Caenorhabditis elegans: one gene and its partner. The gene in region 2 interacts genetically with the main gene of each other region. Each region holds a gene or a part of one and is shown on either strand. Other genes may lie near its edges.

Region 1 (7,966 bases), on a different chromosome or scaffold from region 2:
AATGCGAAAAATAAAATTAAAAAGAAGAGGTAATTTTCCCAAATTTTCCCAGTTTTTCTGTAATTTTTAAAAGAATTTTATGTAATTCAGTTTATGCTTTTTTTTGTGAAAATTTTCTCAAATTTTTTGGCGGATTTCTAGGTTTTCCGGTTTTTTTTTTCAATTTTTTTTGTTAAAAAACAGTTTTGATGTTTTTTTCGCTTAAATTTCAAATTTTCATGTGAAAAAATCTGAGAATTATTTTTCGATTCGAAAAACTCTAGAAAACGGTGCAGAAAACAAAAGGAAAATGTTTTTTATCAGAAAAAGTAAATTTTTTGGATTTTTTAGCTTCGAAAAAACGTCCATAAAAGTCCAGTTTTTTTGGTGTTTTCTTGGAAAAAATGATGATTTTTCCAATTTTTTTTTTCAAAATTCTTCATTTTTAAGCTATTTTTTAGCTACTTTCAGTGAAAAAAATCCATTTTTTCTCAAAATTCTGCTTTAAAAAATAAGCAAAATTTCCAGCAATTCAGCAGCACCTTTCTGCTCAAAACCAAACATTTCATCATCATTGATCGTCCGCCGATTCCGATATCTTGAATCATCCATCATTTCATCTGGAGCATCAGCGTCAACGTGCTCTTCACCAGGCCGTTTTGCTCGTTCTCTCTGTACAAAATCATGTAGCTCATGGTTGGAAACGATGGCGGCTCGGAGGGGTCCAGAGGGATCTTTCAGGTAACACCAAGATGGTCCACCGTGTATCTCGACTTGCTGCAATTTTTTTTATTGGAAAAAATGGGGAAAAAATAAAAATTGAAAATTTTCGATTTTTTGTTGAAAAAAAAAATTTTTTCCGGAATTTTCTAAAATTTATCAAAAATTTTATAAACAATTTTTTTAAAATTTTTATTCTGATTTTTTTTTAATTGTCTTGTTTTTTAGAGCCAAATAGAGCGAAAATTGCGTTTTTTTTTTTGAAAATCTTTTTCAGTTTTTTCAGGAATTTTCTGAAATTTATCGAAAAAAAATTCTGTGAATTTTAAAATCAATTAAAAAAAATTTTTTTTCTGATTTTTAACAAAATATTTTGAAAAAAAACTATTTTTTTTGTATTTTACGACAATTTTATGAAAATCGTCAAATTTCCATTAAAAAACCGCCAAATTGTGCGAAATTTACAAAAAAATTCTGCTTTTGCTGAATTTAAGAAACAAGTGTAATTTTTTCAAAATCTTTTAGAACAAATAATTTGTAAATTTTTAGAATTTATTTTTCGTCGTTTTTCAGCCAAAAATTTATTTTTTAAATACTTTTTTACAAATTTGCATACAAAAAAAGCGAAAACTGAGAAAAAAAAAACACAAAAATTTTTTGTGTAGATTTACGCAGCTTGTGTAGTCCCCGAAGAGAAGTTTTTAGTTTTTTTGGCAGAAATTTCGGTTTTTGGACAGTTTTCTAGGTTTTTATGCATTTCACATAGAAATAATGCTTTTTTTCGATCAAAAATCGACTTTCTGCAATTTTTTTAAAATTTCATTGGAAAAAATGGGGGAAAATAAAAATTGAAAATTTTTTTTTGAAAAAAAAGAAGATTTTTCCGGAATTTTCTAAAATTTATCAAAAATTTTATAAACAATTTTTTTAAAAATTTTTATTCTGATATTTTTTAATTTGTCTTGTTTTTTAGAGCCAAATAGAGCGAAAATTGCGTTTTTTTTTGAAAATCTTTTTCAGTTTTTTCAGGAATTTTTTGAAATTTATCAAAAAAAATTCTATGAATTTTTTAATAATTTTTGTTCGGATTTTTTACAAAATTTTGTGTTTTTAACAAAATATTTTGAAAAAAAGTCTATTTTTTTGTATTTTACGACAGTTTTACGAAAATCGTCAAATTTACAACAAAAAAAAAATGAAAACTCGCCAAATTTTGGGAAATTTACAAAAAAATTCTGCTTTTTTTTTGGAAAAAAAGAGCATTTTTTTCCTTTTTTTTTTTTCTAAAAATTGAAAATGTTTCTTCTTTTTTTTACGTTTTTATTTAATTTTTTCGTTTTATCAATTTTTTATCCAAAAAAAAAATTATTTGTGTAGATTTACGCAGCTCGTGTACTCCCCGAGGAGAGGCTTTTACACTTTTTCAGCAGAAAATCAAATTTTTTGAAGAATGTTCGTTATTTTTGCTAAAAATCAGGGAAATTTAAGAAACAAGTGTGATTTAAAAAAAATTTTTTAGAACAAATGATTTGTAAATTGTTTAAAATTATTTTTCGTCGTTCTTCAGCCAAAAAAAAATTTTTGTTGATATTTTTTACAAATTTGCATACAAAAAAAAAAGCGAAAATTGAGAAAAAAAACAGGAAAATATTGTGTAGATTTACGCAGCTCGTAGTCCCCGAGGACAAGCTTTTACACTTTTTTGACAGAAGATTCAGTTTTTGGGCAGTCTTCTATTACGGGAACAATATATCATGAGAATGCGTACTTGGTGCATTTTATTTGACGCGCGATATCTCTTAGCGAAAACTACAGTAAGAACTCAAATAACAATAGATATTTAAGCATTTACTGTATGTAGTTTTCGCTAAGAGATATCGCGCGTCAAATAAAATGCACCAAGTACGCATTCTCATGATTTATTGTTCCCGTAATAGGTTTTTATGCATTTCACATAGAAATAATGCTTTTTTTCGATCAAAAATCGACTTGCTGCAATTTTAATTTCATTGGAAAAAATGGGGGAAAATAAAAATTGAAAATGTTCGATTTTTTTTTTGAAAAAAAAGAAGATTTTTCCGAAATTTTCTAAAATTTATCAAAAATTTTATAAACAATTTTTTTAAAATTTTTATTCTGATTTTTGTTTAATTGTCTTGTTTTTTAGAGCCAAATAGAGCGAAAATTGCGTTTTTTTTTTTGAAAATCTTTTTCAGTTTTTTCAGGAATTTTCTGAAATTTATCGAAAAAAATTCTGTGAATTTTAAAATCAATTAAAAAAAATTTTTTTTCTGATTTTTAACAAAATATTTCGAAAAAAAGTCTATTTTTTTGTATTTTACGACAGTTTTACGAAAATCGTCAAATTTACAACAAAAAAAAAATGAAAACTCGCCAAATTTTGGGAAATTTACAAAAAAAAATTCTGCTTTTTTTTGGAAAAAGGAGCTTTTTTTTTCTTTTTTTTTTCTAAAAATTGAAAAAGTTTCTTCTTTTTTTTTAACATTTTTATTTAATTTTTTCGTTTTATCAATTTTTAGCTGAAAAAAATTATTTGTGTAGATTTACGCAGCCCGTGTACTCCCCGAGGGGAGGCTTTTACACTTTTTTTAGCAGAAAATCAAATTTTTTGAAGAATTTTCGTTATTTTTGCTAAAAATCAGGGAAATTTAAGAATTTTTAAAAAATTTTTAGAACAAATAATTTGTATTTAAATATTGTTTAAAATTATGTTTCACCGTTTTTCAGCCAAAAATTTATTTTTTTGATATTTTTTTTACAAATTTGCATACAAAAAACACAGAAAAATATTGCGTAGATTTACGCAGCTCGTGTACTCCACGAGGAGAAGTTTTTACACTTTTTTGACAGAAATTTCGGTTTTTGGACAGTCTTCTAGTTTTTTATGTATTTTAAATTAAAAAATTCATTTTTCTCATCGAAAATTCTTAAAAAGAATTAATTTTGAGCAAAAATCAGCGTTTTTTTCAGTTAAAATCGGGTTTTGTACCCGTTTTTTCCAAGAAAAATATGAATTTTCCACAATTTTCCAGGTTTTTCCATTAAATTTTCATTGAAAATTCCAATTTTCGCGTCATTTTCTTCTCTACCTCCGGATCACTGAGCCGAACTTGTGTGCCGACTCTCGTTTGAATTCCAATCGTAAGATCTGAGCCTTGAATCTCGGCGAGCTGTGAACGGAGCACATAGCTGAGCTTGTTGTTCTCCACGGATTCTGTCATGTTTCGGAGGCTCTGAAATTTGAGAATTTCAGCGGTTTTGGCTTAAAACTGTCGAAAAATTGACCAAAAATTTCAAAAAAAAATTGTGGAAAATTTGGCTCAGATTGCCTGAAATTTCCTATAAATTTTCAGAAAAATTGTCCGCAATTTTAATGAATTTTTGACCATTTTTCAGCGAATTTTCCAGAAGTTTTGACTGAATTTTTAAGAAATTTTCTGCCAAATTTCAGCAGTTTTGGACCAATTTCAAGCAATTTTTAGCCGAAATTTCCAGAATTTATTTTACAAAATTTTCATCATTTTGGCACCATTTTTATCTTGATTTTCTCGAAATTTCATCCATATTTTTTTCAGAAAATTGGAGGAAATTTTGGCAAAATTTCAGCAGTTTTCAACGATTTTCAGACTAATTTTTCAGGAAGTTAAGTCAAATTTTCAGCTTTTTTCAGCGATTTTCAGCCCCATTATTTCTAAATTTCGGCTCAATTTTTAATGATGTTCAGCCATATTTTTCCAGAATTTTCGACTGAATTTTTCTATTTTTTTCAGGACTTTTTGGTTAAATTTTTTCCAATTTCCAGCCTTATTTCCAGTGATTTTTGCTCAATTTTCTATCAAAATTAGCCAGTTTTTGCTCAATTTTGATCAAATTTTTAGCGACTTTCAGCAAATAATTCTCAATTTTCGGCTGAATTTTTCTGAAATTTTTGGTCATTTTTCAGCCAATTTTTGCGTAAATTTGGCTCAATTTTCATCGATTTTCAGCAAATTTTTCATCAAATTTTCTGGAAATTCGCTACCTGCTGAAGCCATCTTTGACGTTGCTCAATGAGCTCTTCTTCCTTATTTAATTGCTCAATTTCAGCTTTTAATTGTTCCATTCGATCTTCTTCTTCTGTTGTGGCCGATTGTCGTTTCCCTTCCTTCACGTTTAGCATAAAATCACCGCCTCTGAAAACAAAAAATTGAGTTTTCCGGGGAAAAATGTGCAAAAAAGCGGTTTTTGAGCCGGAAAATAGAGATTTTCACCGAAATTGGAGCGAAATTGAGGCTATTATAGAAAAATTGGCTTTGAAAATGTAATTTTGTGTTAAAAATGACCTTTTCTTGTGTTTTCTGGCTGAAAACCCGATTTTCCACGTAAAAATCTGAAATTTTCAGCAATTTTCATGTTTTTAAGCTGAAAAATAAGGATTTTGCCACAAAATTGAGCTTTGAATTGAAAATTTAACTTTAAAAAGTGATTTTGTGTCAAAAATGAAATTTTCATATGAAAATTCGATTTGTTTCGGTGAAAAATCTCAAAAATTAGTGTTTTAGAAATCGAATTTATCGATTTTTACAGGAAATAGGAGCTATATTCCAAAAAATGTGATTTTCATCCATTTTGCCGGAAAGCGCCATTTTTTGGCTGAAAATGCGATTTTTCACGTAAAAATCTGAAATTTTCCGAAATTTCTTGCATTTTAAGCTTTTTGAGCTGAAAAATCAATATTTTGACACAAAATTGATTTTTTTTCTAAACATGTCATTTTTCTTGTTAAAATACGATTTTCCGCCGATTCATTGAAAAACGTCATTTTTCCTGCTGAAAATTCGACTTTCTTACTTCCACTGTATCATATTCTTGCTTCTTTTCTCAATAAGACCAATTCCTTCGAGAACATTCGTAATATCGTAGATTCGTCGCTTTTGCCGGACATTGAGCGCCTCGGCGGCCTAAAAAATACGAAAATTGCGAAATTCACGATTTTTTTCAAAAATACAGTGTTCAAATCGCATCTTCCATACGGTGAGTACTGAATCATTCGAATAAATCGTTTCGCCAACAATCCCAACGATTTATCGGCTCGTGTGCCCATTTGTGGTTGATCCAGGTCCTCATCCTCGTCGAAATCTGGAAATTTCGGGGTTTTCGGCTTAAAATTCGACAAATATTGTACCAAAATCAAAGTCAAGCTCATTGTCGAGCCCGAGCATCAAATTGTTCTTTATCGAGCTCTGTTTGGTCATTTCCAGCGCTTTTTGAAGCTCCATGTCAGATAATTGGCGGAAGCCGGGGTCTTCCATGTCGTTGTACGAGTCTTCCATGGCTGAAATGCGGAATTTTAGTTGAAAAATCCGATTTTTTGGTTAAAAATGAGCTGAAAAACGAGAAAAATCAAGAAAAAACGAGAAAAACCAAGAGAAATCAATTTGAATTCCCCTCCAAAATGCGAGAAATGATGAGGTTTCGTCACGGATTAGAGACAATGGGAAAGGTGGAGACGCAGACGAGAAAGGTGCAGTGGAGCGCGCTTGCACTCAAATTTCCGCGGGAAAAAGTTTCGCTTGAATGAGAAGATAAAAATGAAAGAAGTACGTGGTTTTTTGAATGTATAATAAGGGGAAATTTGAATTTGAAGACAAAAAAAGTTAGAACCCAAAAAAATTGGGCCCCGTTAGGTATTTGGCGGCAAAACCGTAAATTCAGATAAAATGGGGTTATTCAAGTAGTGTCGTGAAATTAACCATCACTTTTTTTTAGCCATCACTTTTTTGTTTTTGTGGGCTCAAATCAGTTTTAACAAAAATTGAATTTGTAAAATTTCGCCTCCTTTGGTATTTTCACGTGGTGTCAGGCTGTCCCATGCCGGTTTGATCTACAAAAAGATTGTGACGTCACCACGTTATTAAAGGTGGAGTAGCGTCAGTGGGGAAAGTGTTAAAAACTACTCCAATAGTGTAAAAAAGATCAAATATCATAATAAAACTTCAAAAAAAAATTTTTGGCAATTTACCAAAATTTTGAATACGAGCTTTTGAGGAAATTTAAAGAAATGTCGCATGTTTCGACCCCTACAATGTTTTAATACGAATACACATGAACTGTTTGAAAAATGGCAAAAATAATTGAAAATCTTCGATATTACCGTTTTGCCATCGCCAAATACATAAGAAGGTCTAACTAATAGTTAGGCTTAGGCTCAAAAATTTGGCCTAAAATTAGTCTCAGGCTTAGCCGCAGGTCTTAGCTTTCTGTTTAAAATTTCGATGACTGCTACGTAAATTTCGTATGCGACTCCTGAAATTTCTGGAAGTAAGACAGTGAAAAGCCTGTCTGAATACACATGGTTTCAAACTAAGACTACATTTTATTTAAAGCCAAGGGTTCAAGCTGTGCCTACATTTTACAGGTTCAAGTTGGCGGCCAGTTCTGAAACACCTTCGGTGTCTGATTCTCATACTCTCTAGTCAGCTGGTGCGCCTGCGTCTCTGCGCTGTCCAACTAGGCCACTAGTCACAGAGAACTGTGTTGAAATCACTTCATTTTTTCTTCAAATTTCTCAAAATGTCATCACTCTCCGACTTGCCAATCGAACTTATTGAACAAATTTTGAATAATCTGGAAGCTTTGGAAAGGTGAGTTTTCCTTGTTTTTTTAAAGAAAAAAAGCATTGAAAATTCAGGCTAATCGCTCGAAAAGTGTCCTACAGCTTCCGAGCAATAATCGATAACCTCGGTCCAAATCTGAAGACGGTTCATGTAAATTTTCATGAAAAATTTTCAAGACTAATTCTCGATGAGAACTACGGCGGGGTTACCTATGAGCAAGTTGATGGAGCCTGCCAAGTTGAATATAAGAACAGTGGCCGAGTACATGCTGGAAGGAACCACGTTGAAATGTTGATGGAGGACTTGAAGAGCTTGGTGAAGTACCCTGAAGTTGATGAATTTCTGATACAGCTGGCTACCAACAATTTTAATGAAAGAAAAATCATTTTAAAGGCAATTGAGTCATTTTTCGAATCCTTAAACTTCAAGTTAAAAGCGAAAAAAGTGATTATCGATGACTTCACCGCCCGTGAAGTTTCTGAAATACTTCAGAAGTTCGAACCTGAAATTCTCGAAGAAATAACTCTCCAAGCTCAATTCCTAAAGTACTATGAGCCGATAAATGGCGTTGTGGAACTCGAGCAATGGAAGAAAGCTAAAATTCTGAACAACCGGTCCAAGTTTCTGATCCCTATTAAGCATATTGTAAA
Region 2 (3,220 bases):
TTGCTACGTGGCGACTTTTGAAATAAATGCCACTGAGATGTATTATTTGTGTTTCATATCAATCATTTCGTATAACTGTTTTTTCAGCATGCTTGATTAGCCGTTTACGAACGAAAACAGTTTTATTTTACAGTACGATATACTTTCTCACCAGAAAAAAAACATTTGCATTGCTTTTAGAAAAATATGATTTTGAAACACCGTTCGATATATTTCTGCAAATCTTCTCATTTCCGCAAAAAAATCTGATTTACTTAAAGTGTTTAAAGGAATTTAAAACTTTATCATACCAACCCAACTCAACTTTAAACCCGTTCCAATCTTTCACTGTTCCTCGAACGTTTTAAAACGCTCGTTCTTATCATCCATCCATGAAAAAAGACATTACACTTTCCAATCGTTCCTTATCATCTCTTTGTTAGATCACACTGATCTTCCCTTTGTAATGTTATTTTTTCATTTCATTTCGATGACACAACCCCCTCACTTTCCCTGAAACCAGTTTGCCAAACAAGAACACTAAATGAATGATAAATTGTTTATTGGATTTGACCATTTCAGGCCTCGAACATGGTTCTTCCTGGGCATGCGCAATATCCGGCATCGTCTCCTGGAGCACCATCGGCACCTGGTTCTCCTGGAGTACCATCCTCTCCTGGCTCTCCTGGAACTCCTGGTTGTCCACCAAATCCACGATCTCCTGGAGCTCCGTTCTTTCCTGGAGTTCCTGGGGCTCCCTTTGGTCCTTCTGGTCCGCATGGTCCGACATCTCCTGGTTTTCCTGGTACTCCGGCGGAGTGGCGAGTTCCGCGTGGTCCGGCTGGTCCGGCTGGTCCATGTGGTCCAACTGGTCCGTCTTTTCCTTCTGGCCCAGCTGGTCCGGCTGGTCCTGGTCTTCCTGGTTGTCCTGGATGTCCGTTTGGTCCTGGTGGTCCATTTGGTCCTCGGACTCCTGGCTCTCCATCTGGTCCAGGTGGTCCAGCCTCTCCTCCTGGGCATGGAATGCAATCAGCCTCTGCGGCGTGAACATATGTGAGAGATTTTCCGTCGACTCCTGGCTTTCCATCAACTCCTGGAGCTCCTGGAAGTCCTGGCGCTCCTTGTGGTCCACGAGCTCCTGGTGGCCCGTCTGGGCATCCTTGAGACTGAAGTCCGCAGTGGCATTGGCTGTTGTCACGCTTGTGACGTCCGAAAAGAGTCTTGAAGTTTGGTGGGGCAGCGGTCTCGCCAGTTGGGTTGACGTGAAGGGAGAGGATGCGAGACCATGTCTCATCGGACTTCATCTGGAAATAATATTCATTGGTTATATACAATCTATTCAGATTAAACCTTGAAATCATTCATTCCATCGGTAATCTCTAATTGCAAATTATTCAAGTCCGAGATAATATTTCCAACGGAAATGAGCAACATGCCAGTGGCAACAATTGATGCAGCACTTGTGACTGCAACCGCGTACGACATCTGAAACAAATTCATTATTGAGAAAACAATTAAACAAAAATCGCAAACCTTCAACGAAGAGTTAACCGAACGGTCGACGAATAACCTTGTATCATCATTGTCCTTTTATAGGAAATCCAAGGGGTTTGGTCACACTGGTCTTATCAATTTGAGAGAGAAAGGCTGGATTCTGTTGAAAAAAAGTTTGAAGGATTGTAACTTTCTCTGGTCTACTCTCTATCTCTTCTGTTATCAGTTCCTTGTTTCCAGAATTGCGCAATAAGAAAATAAAAAAGTTTGATGAAGACAACGCAGTTACTGTTCTTGACGTGGTTGCGATGCAATTAAGATACAACTTTCTCTTTAAACCTTTGGAAACGGAACAGACGAATAAGAAATTGAGAGAAGGGAAGACGTGTTAGACTGATTACTCAACTAAATCTTACTGCCATACTTCGAATAATCGCTGTAGCTTTAGTAGAAGCGTTGCATGAATAACTAATTGTTATTTGTACTAGCTTTGTACTAACTTTGCAGCAGCAATTTTTTTAAAGTATAGATATTTCAGATACAACACATTTTAGAGATATTGCTACAGACAACGTAATGATTGCGCAAAAAAAAACAATGACCCTTGTTTGTCCCAAAAAGTAATGTTTTAACAGTCTCAGCTTCCACAAGCCTGGAGCATTCAAATTTTCGTTGAAAATTTGTCATGTGAATTGCAAATATTACGACAAGGAACCCTTATCGTCGAAACTTTTTGACAACTACCGGAAGATTTGGAGCTAGAAGGTAGAACTTTGAAGAAAACAAAATGTGATGAACAAAATGAAGTAGTTGTTTAAAAAGCGTTCAGTAAATCAAGAAAATGTGAAAAATGGTCAACTAATAAAAAAAACATTTACATATGATCTGAAATCCCAAAAAAAGTTAATTGTACGTTTTCAAAGTCGTTTAAATTTTATATCCGTTTTTGTACTCTAAAATTTGAAAATGAATCCATAAAAATATATTTTGTAAAATTGCAGTATTAAACTCAAACCTAAATTCTTTTGAAGTTGCCTTGATTGTGAAAGGTCTTATTAAAAATTCTAAAACCTTCGGAAGTCATATTGTAAAATCAGAATTGAGAATGTTTTGGAATTGTTTATGTCAAGGGGTAAAAAAATAATCATAACCAAAATTTTAAGGTGTTTTTGGAAAGTTTTTCCTGAAATTACATAGGAAAATTTGTATTTGCATACGGGAGTTTGTTTAAAAAATGCTTTAATAACTGTGTTCTGAATGAAGAGAGTTTGGCAAAACCCATCAAATTTGCATAGATCCACTAAATTTCTTACTAGTTTCAATTTATAAAAAAATGAATAACCTTTGTTTGCGAATCTTTATTGATTTTAACAATTCAATTTTCATTCTTCTTAAAATAACTAGTTTATACTGAAAATACTGATTCCACTTGAACTTCCATGTAAAATTATACGAAACATGACTAAGATAACACAAACACGAATCAGAACCGCTAACCAATTGGTAACAATTACAGAAACCACAGGAAAATGACAATAATGTATGTGGAACCAAATGTCTCTTGCAACGCCACTGTATGAACAGAAGAGAAGGGAGGATGGATGCCTGTTGTTCATAACTGGTTCTCGGAATAAACAACAAGTGGAAATGGTATAAAAAGACGAGTCACTGGAGCCATATCATCACATCACTGGTCTGCATTCAGCAACAGCAACCAGTCAACCATGGAGTCTCACGTGGATCTTAA

The links. Genes that interact genetically often act in the same process or in processes that back each other up.
Region 1: of col-184 (region 2) and efl-1, changing one enhances a phenotype caused by changing the other (phenotypic enhancement), as found in Caenorhabditis elegans (one large-scale study listed by BioGRID).

What each region holds. Positions count from the first base shown.
Region 1 is NC_003283.11:16,959,642-16,967,607, forward strand, and holds the start of efl-1 (E2F/DP family winged-helix DNA-binding domain-containing protein), read right to left. Parts: upstream 6,035-7,966; 5' UTR 6,033-6,034; coding exon 5,885-6,032; intron 5,839-5,884; coding exon 5,708-5,838; intron 5,661-5,707; coding exon 5,551-5,660; intron 4,893-5,550; coding exon 4,742-4,892; intron 3,954-4,741; coding exon 3,810-3,953; intron 757-3,809; coding exon 522-756; intron 1-521. Other genes in the region: fbxa-90 (F-box domain-containing protein), read left to right, coding at 7,273-7,343, 7,391-7,966.
Region 2 is NC_003284.9:13,467,714-13,470,933, reverse strand, and holds col-184 (Nematode cuticle collagen N-terminal domain-containing protein), read right to left. Parts: upstream 1,480-3,220; coding exon 1,330-1,479; intron 1,284-1,329; coding exon 558-1,283; 3' UTR 525-557; downstream 1-524. Other genes in the region: col-183 (Nematode cuticle collagen N-terminal domain-containing protein), read left to right, coding at 3,198-3,220.